Rattus norvegicus: one gene and its partners. The protein of the gene in region 2 interacts with the protein of the main gene of each other region in a biochemical or structural test. Links are inferred from orthologs where the notes say so. Each region holds a gene or a part of one and is shown on either strand. Other genes may lie near its edges.

Region 1 (4,091 bases), on a different chromosome or scaffold from region 2:
ACAGGACAGAGATAGGGTCATTGGCAGGCAGGGATGGCTAGATTGCTTCACAGCAATGCTCGGGGAAGGTCTAAAAGATAGCTAGTCTCCATTCTACTGTGAGGACATTGAGCTTCAGAGAGATGAAGTTGTCCAAGGATCCAAGGCTGAAACCCACATTTCCTGGTTTATTTTACAAACCAAAAGGAAGAGAGAGAGAGAAGTGGGGAGGGAGGTAGGGAGAAAGGTACGGAGAGAGGGAGAGGGAAAGGGAGGGAGGGAGGGAGGGAGGAGGAGGAGGAGGAGGAGGAGGAGGAGGAGGAGGAGGAGGAGGAGGAGGAGGAGGAGGAGGAGGAAGAAGAAGAAGAAGAAGAAGAAGAAGAAGAAGAAGAAGAAGAAGAAGAAGAAGAAGAAGAAGAAGAAGAAGAAGAAGAAGAAGAAGAAGAAGAAGAAAGACAGTATAGGCCAAGAGAAACAAGTAGTAAATATGAAGATTTCACACCTTTAACTACTAATCTCTTGTATTGCGATACTCTTCCTGCTAGGTCCCAAGATAAGCCTGTTACCTTTAAGATGGGGTAACATCTGGTTGTCTGAAAGAAAGGACAGGGAGTGTATCTGGTATATTGCAAATGAATTCGATGAGAGATAGGATGGGTAACATAACTATTTAGCAGAACCCACGCCTAGAAACCCTTGGCACGTGTTAATGTAAAGAATGGTGCTTGGATCAAGTTACCGGCTTATTATGGGTCAATTGCAAAAACTTTTCTACTCAAGAGTGTTCTTTTGAGAACTCAGAGGCAAATCCTAGCGGAAAAGCATCAACTTTAGGCTCTGACTTGCTCAAACCACCGGGTCATTAGAGTAACCCCACGCAGGAGTCCTGAGAACCGTGGCATCGCAGGAGCGTTTGATCACAGTACTCTCAAACCGGGACAGAAAGGCGTCCCCTGGAGCTGCGGGCGACAGCGGGCTGGGAGGAGCGTCGCCCAGTGGCAGAGGCCGCGACGGTACCCGGGGTTGGGGAGAGAACTGGCTCCCACCTCCCGCAGCTCCACAGGCGGTGCCGGGAGGCGGGGCTTCAGCTATTGAGACTGATTATTGGCTGCCGGAGCTGGGGAGGAGGGGCAAGCACGCAGTGATTGGTGAAGACCGGCGCCGGAGGGGCGGGGCCTCTATAAAAGACGAGTGCCTGTAGCGGCGCTGGCAGTGGGGCTGTCGGAGCGGCGCGGCCGTGTAGCTCCCGGGAACTGGCTGTCGTGGGGGGTGGCGGGGACGCGAGTGGCGGCTGCGTGGGGTGCAGGGCGGGTGACCGCACGGCTGCACCTTCCTCGCGGTGCCCGGAGCCGACTTGGAGCAATTGCAGTGAGGCGACAGCCCCGGCGCACACCGGAGAAGAAGCGGCCGTGGCGGCGGTGGCGGCGGCCCCAGCCATGCTGTGCTATGTGACGAGGCCGGACGCGGTGCTGATGGAGGTGGAGGTGGAGGCAAAAGCCAACGGCGAGGACTGTCTCAACCAGGTGATGGCAGTGATAGGAAAGGGGATCCCTGCTCATTACCGGGAAGCCTCGGGGCTCAGGGATGCTCCTCCGGAGCCGGGCGACGTTGCAGCGGCGGCCCGTAGAGCGCTCCCGGGATGCCAGGCTTCAGCCTCCTCCTCCCTGCCAGCTTGGGGTGGGGGGGGGGGCATAGAGGACGCTTACGGTGGGGGAACCTGGGCCTGGAGACCAGGACACTGCCGGAAACCTCCACCCTGTCTCCTAGCCTGGCACTTTTCTCTAAAGAAGGTGGCAGGGCACACCTGCCGCAGGTGTGTGTATGTGATGCCTCCCGTGGAGTCCTTGCAAAGCCCGGCAGCGCCACCCGCGTCCCGGGATGAGGTGGCTGCAAATGGTCGCTGGCCCCGGGGTTCCCTAGCTGACCAGGTGAGCCCTTGTCTCAAGCTGCTTCTTAGAAGGACTGTTCGTTCACCTGACACACTCCAGGTTTGCTGGGGATCCAGAGTATGCCCGAGTAATTTGCGGGGGAACGGTTCTGCCGGCAGTCTCCTGCTTGGGGTCTTTACACGTGTGTTTTCTTAAGAGTGACTAAGGCTCTTAACAGTGTGTGCATAATGGGTACAGCAGACCCATTTGACCCCTGGAAACACTGTGCCTTCAAGACCTGTAGACCTGAGCTATTTGGAGAGCTGTGTGTAAAGCTTAGCTGACACTTGTGGCATGCTTCCTCAATGCGTTTGTGTTTTTGGAATCCAGATGGTTAAAACTGTCCAGATAATAAGCTGCCGAATCAGCTGTGCAGATGGTGCTGGTGGAGGGAATTGCAGCGATTGGAATAAGAAATAAAATACCCTGTGGGTTCCTCTTCCTCAGCCATTTGGGAAATCTGTTTGGGGGGACTCCTTTCTCTGTGCAATTGGTCAGACCCTAGAAATAATCGAGCAATGCGAAGCCTCCATTGGAGAGCTGCGTTTTGGCTTTGCTGATACCTTAAAACCTTGTTTTTCCGGTCTACCACTGGCATTGCAACAAGGTAGAACTTTAGAAAAGTGGTTGCCAGCCCTTCACTCAGATGTTTGCATTGGGTTTGCATTGCTCATCTCCCCATACCTTTGGTTCTGTTTTTTAGGTGTGCAGGCGATTGGGAATCATAGAAGTTGATTATTTTGGGCTGCAGTTCACGGGTAGCAAAGGTGAAAGCTTATGGCTGAATCTGAGAAACCGGATCTCCCAGCAGATGGATGGGCTGGCACCTTACCGGCTTAAACTGAGGGTCAAGTTCTTTGTGGAGCCCCATCTCATCTTACAGGAGCAGACAAGGTAAAGCGAGGCGGAAACAAACCAATGTCAAGTACACCTCTGATTCCATTTAGAGGCAGCTATCCTGCCCTCCCAGAGATGTCCCCTGGCAAATTTGACTTGGTGCAGAGAAAGTTCTGGAAAAACTTAAATTCGTTTTTCGAAGCACAGTTGGCCTGGGTGGATTTTTTTCTCCAACACCCCGCTCCCCTCCAATCTGTATAATATTAGTGAGAGAACAGGGCTGACTTCGTACAAACAAAAAGAAAACCTGACACCGACTTCCTGACTGCTTCATCTAATGCCCGCGAGTAACCCCGCCTCAGCAGTGTTACTACAGGTCACTGTAGACTGTTCTAACCGAAAGCAGGAAACTGTTCCTCTTGGGTTGCTTAAACTTGGTCAATCTTCAGCCTAGTGTCAGATTACAGTGTGTAGCGGGAGTGCTCTGTCTGGCCTCCTGCAGATTTGAAAACTTTTTTAAGTTTCACAAAAAATTAATAAAAGGACTCTTTGAAGGCCACTGTAAACTGAATTCCACCCTACAGATATATTAAACATGATTGATTGTTGGGCATGAGGTTTTTTCTCCCCCCTCCTTGTTAAACGGAGGGCCCCCAGCCTTGGTAGACAACTGAAGCCTGTGGGTGTGGCCTCCTTTTTCAAACGACCAAAATACATGCACACACACACACACACACACACACACACACACACACACACACACGTTTCCCTCTGAGCTGACTGTAATACTTTTCTCAAAGATGAACCAAAATAGGAAGGCGGGGTTTAATATTTATTACTGAAATGCAAGAGACTACAGGAAAAAAAAAAAGAAAGAAAATGATTGCTTTTAAAACCACAGCAAACTCTGGATCCCAGCACTGATGTTTTCCATACTCCTGTGGCTTGGAAGTGGGCCACGCATGTGAAAAATGTGATCTTGTAGATTTCTACTCCTAATGGGGGAACAGGCTCCTCAGAGAGATTTTAACATACCGGTTTTTGTTTATTTACTAGACAAACAATGGAAACATTAAAAAATACCGTCCATTTGGGTTTGGAATGTCCACGTTGCCTTACCATGGTATTTTAAAGGTTGGGAGAGATTTTTGTTTACAGACAGACAGACAGACAGACGAACAGACCAACCGATCTGGTTTGTGAAAGCTTCCTTAGTTCAGTAAGTGAGAAAAATACATGACACAGCATTTGTTCTGTGTATGTGTGAGTGTGTGTGTGTGTGTGTGTGTGTGTGTGTGTGTGTGTGTAGCAGTCACATACGGCGATTTCAGGGCTTCCAGGTGCAAC
Region 2 (4,376 bases):
GGCAGGCAGGTGTGGATCTGAGGAAACTGGCTAGGACCAGCTCTGGCCAGAGCACTGCAGAGAAGCAGCCCTTCCAAGACCTCATGGAAGGTGCTGACCAGCTCTGCCCAGCCCAGCACACAGCTCGACTTCTGGGAAGAGATTCCTTCCCAGTGACTCTAAGGAGGGCACAGCAGGGGTGGGGAGTCCCAAACTGCTCATGCTGCAGTCCCAGCTGCTCAGGAGGCCAAGAAAGGAGATCACTGAACCCACGAGTTGTGGGTTATTAATAGTGAGTCTCCTGTTGCCAAGCGAGGGAGCTGCCACGTGTGGCCATGCGAGTTAGGCTGGGACTGAGACCGCCGTGGAAGGAGAAAACTGACCTGTTGACTTCTGCCAGGCATGAGCACATGAGCACACACACACAATACAATACGATGGTTTTTAATTAGGTGGAAGGCAACTGAGGCGAACACCTGACATTGAACTCTGGCCTACACATATACATGTGAACACACAAGCACCCCAAAACCCAGGAGAGGAAGAGATAAACTGGGCAGGTGGTGGCACATGCCTTGACAGGCAGATGGATCGCTCTGTGTTCGAGGACAGCCTGGCCTTCATAGTGGGTTCCAGGATAGCCAGAGCTAGATAATAGAGTGACCCTGTCTCAAAAATAAAAAATGAGAGAAATCAACTCACAAAAGAAGCTTCTTACATCTTTTTGGTTTCTGTCTTCAACTATCTGTGTAGCCAAGGCTAGCCTCCTCCCTAAGAGTGTTGAGACCACACACTTGTGACAACAGGCCCGGTTTATGTGATGCTGGGGATGGAACCCACGAAGATACTCTACCAACCCAGTCCAGCCTGTCCTGTTCTCAGGTCACAGAAAGAGTTCTCGCCTCTCCTGTGGGTCCTCGGGTTTGAACTCAGGTCCTCAGGCTTGGCTGTGTGCACTAAGCCAGCTCACTAGCCCCAGTGTCTTTTGCTGGGAGCTAGGTTTGGAATCTGAGGCCCTTGCGCCTTTACCCACTGACCCAACTCATGTTTTGGTAGCACTTCTGGTTGATTTTACTTACATTCCTCTCTGAGTGCTATTTATGGTCGGATCCGAATAACCATCTAAAACCTGCAACTGTACTTGGGTCAAAAATCTATGTGCCCGTTCCTAGAAAGGAGAGTAAATGCTGCAAGGAGTCTGTGTGTATGTGCGCGCACACGAGTTGGGGGCTCCGGGGTGGGGGCTGGGGGGTCCCATACTTCTGTTTTCCTTTGGAGGTGGAAAGGAAAACGTCAGAAGGCGACCCAGGGTGTGGAAGGATGTGGGTCGTCCTTTGAACAGTGAGAGCTGAGTCCACAGCTAAGCATCTGGGAACTGGTGAAATTCTGAAGGAGGAACTCGAGGAACTTCCCAAGGCTAAGGGAGCTTCAGGGGTTAAAGATCCTATGTCACATCGGCCGTTCCAAGCTCCTCCCCGCACAGTGAGGAGTAGATTTTTGAAAATCACCCCACTGCAGACTCCTCCCCCTCTGGAAACCTCGTCCCTAGGGCTGAGAATGACTCTGGCTCTGCGCGTGTAGTCAGTCACCAGTTGACCCAGTGCGGCGTAGGATTGCAGCCCGCATACCGTGGGGCTTGCCACCCAGGTTTTGCAGCTGAGACACCGTGGGACCCGTGATCCTGTGTTTGCAGCGGGAACATTTCGGGTCTGTGATCCGAGTGGGGACGCGACGCAGAGGCTGAGGATGAGCACCGCGGATCTGATGCTACGCTGGGCCATCGCCCTGCTCCTGGCTGCTGCTGGAGTTGCAGGTAAGGCTTATTCCAGGAGCCTGCCGAGGGCCAGGGCCAGCCGCTCTGAACTCGGGGAGCCCCGAGTGGTTTTCTTTTTGGACGAGAAATAGAATCACTCATGCGAACTTGGGATGATGTCCTTCCCACGTGGCTGGAGGGAGCTGTTCTGGAAATAGGATGCCAGAGTTGTAGGGGGTCAGAGTAGGTTTGGGGGGAGACGGGTAGGTGCTCTCTCGAGTTAGCGGTGTTCTTCAGAGCTATGTGTGAGGGAGTCCAAGAGGAGGGCTCCCATCATTCGTTTTAAAGGACTGGGGAGAGACAGGCTCAGCTGTTCAACTTTGGGGTCACTAGTCGTAGGTATAGGACTTGAGGGGTCTACACAGATGCGCTCAAACCCCGCTGCTGCCGGGTGCCCTAAAACTCCGCCCTAACCCCACCTCCCACCGCACCCCCGAGCTCCTATTGGGTAAAGCCGGAACAGGCGAGACTCGAGCCACTCCCCTCGCCCAATGGAAGAAGAAGATGAGGTGCAGGGGCGTGGCTTGCCTGAGTCTCCGGGGTCGGGTGGGGCTACACATCCTGGCCGCCCCGGTTCCCCTGTGTGAGTCACTCACTACCTTGTCCACACTTCTCTGGTCAGCTTCATAGTTGTGCCTCTGGCAACCCAGACCCTGGTAGCCGGGACCATCAGTCAAGGAGAGCCAGGGATCTGGCGAGGACTGTTGCTGGCCTGGTTTGTTCCCACTCTCTGAATGTGTTGAATTGGGCTGCCCCATCAAGTGGACTTTAGTTTTAGGAGAAGTGCTGGAATTTGGACAGGAAGTTAGATGGTGTTATAATCTCACCCACGACTTCTTTGCAGCACTGGGGATTAAACTCAGATCCTTGCACACTGGGACAAATGCTCCACCTCTCCCTTACTTTATAGACAGGGTCTCATGTAGCCTAGGATGGCCTATAAGTCACTATACGGTCTAGAATGACTTTAAGCTCCTAATTCTTCTTCCTCAGTTTGGGAGTGTTGGGGTGACAGGTATGTGCCATAGCACCTAGATTTGGGGATACCATGGATAGAACCTGGGGCCATGCATGGGATCCAGGCAGGAGCTTGGAAGGAGTTAGCTAGCTGTGTGTGACTGTCAATCCTGGGGATGCTTCCTTGAGACAGCCTGGCGGAGCTGGGGATCCTGGGGCACACCTTTAATCCCAGCACCGGAAAGTCAGAGGCAGGTGGAGCCCTGTGAGTTGTAGGACAGCCAGGGCTATACAGTGAAGTGAACCCCTGGAGAGAGAGAGAGAGAGAGAGAGAGAGAGAGAGAGAGAGAGAGAGAGAGAGAGAGAGAGAGAGAGAGAGAGAGCGAGCTGTAATTGAACACTGAGGCAAACACTCAGCCATCCTGCTATAATTGCAAACAAGGGTAGACCAGATATCCTGCTCAGCTTCCATTTCGCCTGTCATTGCTCTCTTTAACAAAAAGGAAGAGAGGAAATTATTTTACAAAGTCTTGAGCAAGAGCTGAAGTTTCCTGTCTCACAGGAAAGCCAGAGGGGCCCGTGCTGGCCTCACTGGGTGCTGGCCTCCCTCTCATGCTCCGGGCAGCCACACTACGGCTTGCTCTAGGTTAAGCTTCAGTGCATTAACTGGACGGTTTGTCTGTTTTAAGATCTGTTGTGAACACATCTTTAGATGGCTCAAGAGCAGATCTGGGGGCTGGGGTGGTGGCTCAGTCAGTTGGTGACATGGCCATGTGTGGGGCAGCCTGAAATGACCACTCTGGAGGATCCCTGGACTTGAGGGTGAGCTCTGGGTGCAGGGTGAGGAGGAGGAACACTAAGGAAAACATTCGACTGGGAACTCTGGCCTCCACACACACAGAGCCCGCAGCCGTGTGAGGGGTGTCAGATATGCCAGAGGTCTGTAGCACGCACTGTTAGCTCACAGTGGTGCTTCAGCTTCATTTGTCTGTCACATTCCTTGCTGAGTAAAACTGGTAAACCACTGAATAGGGTTGGATTTTTTTTCCCTCTTGTTCTTTTTGATTATTTATTTTTGGAGAGACAGTATCTCACTCTGTAGCCCAGGCTGTCCTTGAATTCACTATGTAGCCCAGGCTGGCCTTTTTTTTTTTTTTTTTTTTTTTTTTAAGTAGAGTCTCACTGTACAGGGTAGCGCCCTGCCTCTGACTCCTGAGCCCTGGGAGCCTCTTACCTGAGCATCCCTGAAATTACAAACCCGGAGGGCAATGCTCCTGACTCTGACCGCTCAGGGTTCTTATCTCCCTGCTTGGTCCTGATAAGACTCTGGCCACCTCTATGCTTGGCTCCTTTGACCAAGCTTTTGATGCGTTAATTCTGTCAGCAGCATCTGCACCCTCTGGGCATGTGGGGCAAATCAGCTTTGGTTGCTTATGGAGACGACAGGGGTTGGCGGTCCCTAACTCATGTTAGGCTTGCTGGTGAGGAGGCCGGCGAGCACTTTTGCTCCTGAGCCACCATGGATGCTACGGAGGATTTATTTTACTCACACCCTGCTTAGCCGATGGCATTACCCACGGTAGAATGGACACAGCCGGTTCGTTGGTGGGTTGGAACTGCTGGTGCC
Region 3 (3,098 bases), on a different chromosome or scaffold from region 2:
CACTATTGTAACATTTGAGCCGTTAGCATCTGCCAGCTATAGTGCTTTTCACACATGGCTTTGCTTTGCAGAAAACCACTTGGAGACTTTTGGCAGATCCATTGTGTAGACTGTATAGAGATAGACCATGCCTAAGACAGTAACACCAAGGGGTCCACACTGCATGACAGGGATATTTGCACATTGCACACTGAAAAAATATCTGAGAGCATGTTTCATTTCAAATCAGGGGTAACTATAGACTGCTTGCAGAAACACCACAGACTAATGAGTGAATGAGCCGAGAAACATCACTGAGCCCTTGCTAGAAGGGTGGTAGAAGTGTTGGGAGCTAGGAGTGCTGTAGGCATGAGCCCAAAGAGTCTATAATGCTGGAGGGAGTGGGATCCCCAGGACAAATACTAGTACTCTGAGGCATCAGGAGGCTACAGGAACAGTGGCTGCATTCTTAGAATGGGCCCACTGCAAGCCTGTGCACGCCACCGTCTGGCAGATAGTCCAACCTGGTAAGCAGGCAGCCTTAGTCAGGTGCAGGCAGTCACATCAGCTTCTTTTATTCTGAAAAGTCACTACATAATAAAAACTCTATAAAACCCGGCATAAATATCGAGTTACAAAAGCAACGCAGGTAGGGAAAGCTTACTATAAAAAAGCAGAAGAGGTCAAAAGGATATAGGTGTTCTTGTCGACTTGTGTGGCCTTAGTACAGTCGCCCTCTGTTGCTCCTCCACTCTCCACATAATCCGTGGGACTGGGGCTAAGGGAGCATAGGTCCAGGAACAAGCCGCTGAAGCACAGCCTGTCCTCTCATTTTTTGTTTGCTTCAAAAATAGGATGCCCAGCCTGGCATTGCCAAGAGGCATGGCTTCAGGGCCAGCCACTCTGGATTTATGTCCTAGCATCACTGGCTGCATGACATTGCTTCTCTGGCCCTGTCTCTTCCTTCATAAAGTGAAGCCAGTCAGTGCACAGGGTAGTGGGGTAAGCCCTGTGTGGTTCTCCAGTGCAAACAGAGTCAGCTAGGAGTTCGTAGCGTGTTCTCCTGAGCAGGGCCAGAGCCTTCGGTGCAGCAGATGAGAACATCTGGAAGATACAGGTGAGCCTCACAGCTGGATCCACCCCTGGAGGTGGGCAGAACTGATCTGCATTAATCAGGGAGCCCAAAATGCTGTCTCCAGAGTAAGCAAGCTGTGAGTGGCCCCAGCAGCTTTCAGATACTGTTCTAGTCTGGTGACATCTGACCTGGGGGCGGGGGGTGACCGTCAAGGGTCACGATCCATCATTATCTTCCTGCAGGATACATTCACTCTGGAGGCCTAAGGCCTGAACACTAGCCTTGTAGCAAGTGCTCTCAGGTTCTGATATACTGGAGCAGCTGGCCAAAGCCAACTATAGCTTAACATCTTCGATGGCAGAAGGCCAAGCACAGGCCCCCTGACCATGAAGGAGGTGCTTCCCCACACATACACCAGGAATGGGTACCCAGGATGAGACGCCAAGTTCCCCCAGGCAGAGTCTCCCCACCTTTGGCTAGACACAAGAGAGCCAGGACGTCCATCTCTGCGTCCAGCCACAGGTACAATGCCTGCCTGAGGCTGTCACTGGTGAACCCAGGAGGCCTTTGCCGAAGGCCGGCTCCGGCAGCAGATGGCAGCAGCTACCGTGGCTTCTTCACTGGTCCTGTCCGCTCTACCAGCATCACGGATTCGTGCCACACACACGTTGTCCACACTGTAGGCCCCCAGAGGGAGGGATGCCCCAGGGAGAACGTTGCATCCAGTCAGGGTCCATCCTGCCTCACAGGCCACGGTGACCTGCCAGAATCCAGAGGAAGACAGCCTGTGTCTGAGACTTGTGGGCTGACCACGCTCCACAGCCTCTCAGACACAGGCAGGGTTGTACCCAACAGTAACCAACGCTCTCCTTCCAGGGCAGACGTCTAACTCAGCCACCTTCACTTCCCCAAAGTCACTCCCTCTGCAGCCTTCCATCCCATCTAATGGCAGTTCAGAGGCTCAGCAGAAACCCTGAACCTGTTCTTCACCTACACATCTCCGGTTGCAACACCTCCCCCTAACTCCCACTCCAGCCTAGACCCTCACATCCTAGACCTGGAGCAGTGCAGGGGCCATCCTGCAGACCTTCCTGTCTCAGTCCGGCAACCATGGGCCTGGTCACGCCCCAGGTCAGATGTTTCCAGACTTCTGAGACCCTACCTGCCCCACTGGCCTAGATGATCCTGTCACCAAGATATACTGTCACCCCTCTTGACCTTAGCTGTTTCCTCTGCCAGAAACTTTGTTCCCGATGGTGACCCTATGGCTTGTCATCTCATCTCAAGGGTGTCTCTACCCACCAATCTTCCCTGCTCCATTTTTCTCCATATTAGCACTCTCCATACTGGCCCTCTGGAACTAACTCTGCTTACTTCTCCCACCAAGTGGGACTCCTAGAGGGCCAAGCAGGCACCTCTGCCCAATTTATCTCCTAGGACTGGACTAGACTGGAGCCAGCCTCTCTGGGTACCTGTGCTCACTGATATAGTGGAACTGAGATTCCCCTTCATAGAGCAGCTTTCTGCCTCACACCGCCCACCCCCAGAGCTGTATAAAGGATGGACACTTCTGCCTCTAGCTCTGAAAGGCCATCTGTTGGCCCCAGGCTCTCTTCCCAGGGCTCTTCCTTTCCTCAACCTTCACTTGCTCAGCATCTACAGCTCTGTGTCCAGACTCTGCAGAACCTCAGCGGCCCCCATCAGAAAGTGCTCAAGCACGGTGTTTCCTTCCCACTTGCCACGACCATGCATGCTCTCAAAGAGCAGCAACAGTGGGCAGAAGCAAAACCAGGCCTGCCTGCCTCGCTCAAATGCTCACATGCTGTGCCTGCAACAGTAAAAACCGTCTAGCTCCTCTCCTGACCCATGGGGCCCCTTCAACACAGGGCAGCACCCCCCGCCACACACACACACAAGACCAAGGTACCCAGCCATCCCCAACTCCTTCACCTGCTCTGCAGGACCTGCGATGCCATGCTCCTTGATTTTGCATTCCAGACCTGGAGCATGGCAGCAGGAAGCGTGGACACTGGCCTCCTGGTGG

What was found.
Region 1: of the proteins of Ldlr (region 2) and Mylip, one has a biochemical effect on the other in vitro, tested with the Homo sapiens proteins (4 studies listed by BioGRID, with this or other methods). The link is inferred for Rattus norvegicus from reciprocal best matches to the Homo sapiens genes LDLR and MYLIP.
Region 3: the proteins of Ldlr (region 2) and Pcsk9 form a complex in vitro, tested with the Homo sapiens proteins (3 studies listed by IntAct, with this or other methods). The link is inferred for Rattus norvegicus from reciprocal best matches to the Homo sapiens genes LDLR and PCSK9.

What each region holds. Positions count from the first base shown.
Region 1 is NC_086035.1:19,511,570-19,515,660, reverse strand, and holds the start of Mylip (E3 ubiquitin-protein ligase MYLIP), read left to right. Parts: upstream 1-1,189; 5' UTR 1,190-1,415; coding exon 1,416-1,502; intron 1,503-2,610; coding exon 2,611-2,801; intron 2,802-4,091. UniProt on the Homo sapiens protein: E3 ubiquitin-protein ligase that mediates ubiquitination and subsequent proteasomal degradation of myosin regulatory light chain (MRLC), LDLR, VLDLR and LRP8. Activity depends on E2 enzymes of the UBE2D family.
Region 2 is NC_086026.1:28,544,620-28,548,995, forward strand, and holds the start of Ldlr (low-density lipoprotein receptor precursor), read left to right. Parts: upstream 1-1,571; 5' UTR 1,572-1,725; coding exon 1,726-1,792; intron 1,793-4,376.
Region 3 is NC_086023.1:126,439,571-126,442,668, forward strand, and holds the end of Pcsk9 (proprotein convertase subtilisin/kexin type 9 precursor), read right to left. Parts: coding exon 3,005-3,098; intron 1,815-3,004; coding exon 1,599-1,814; 3' UTR 532-1,598; downstream 1-531.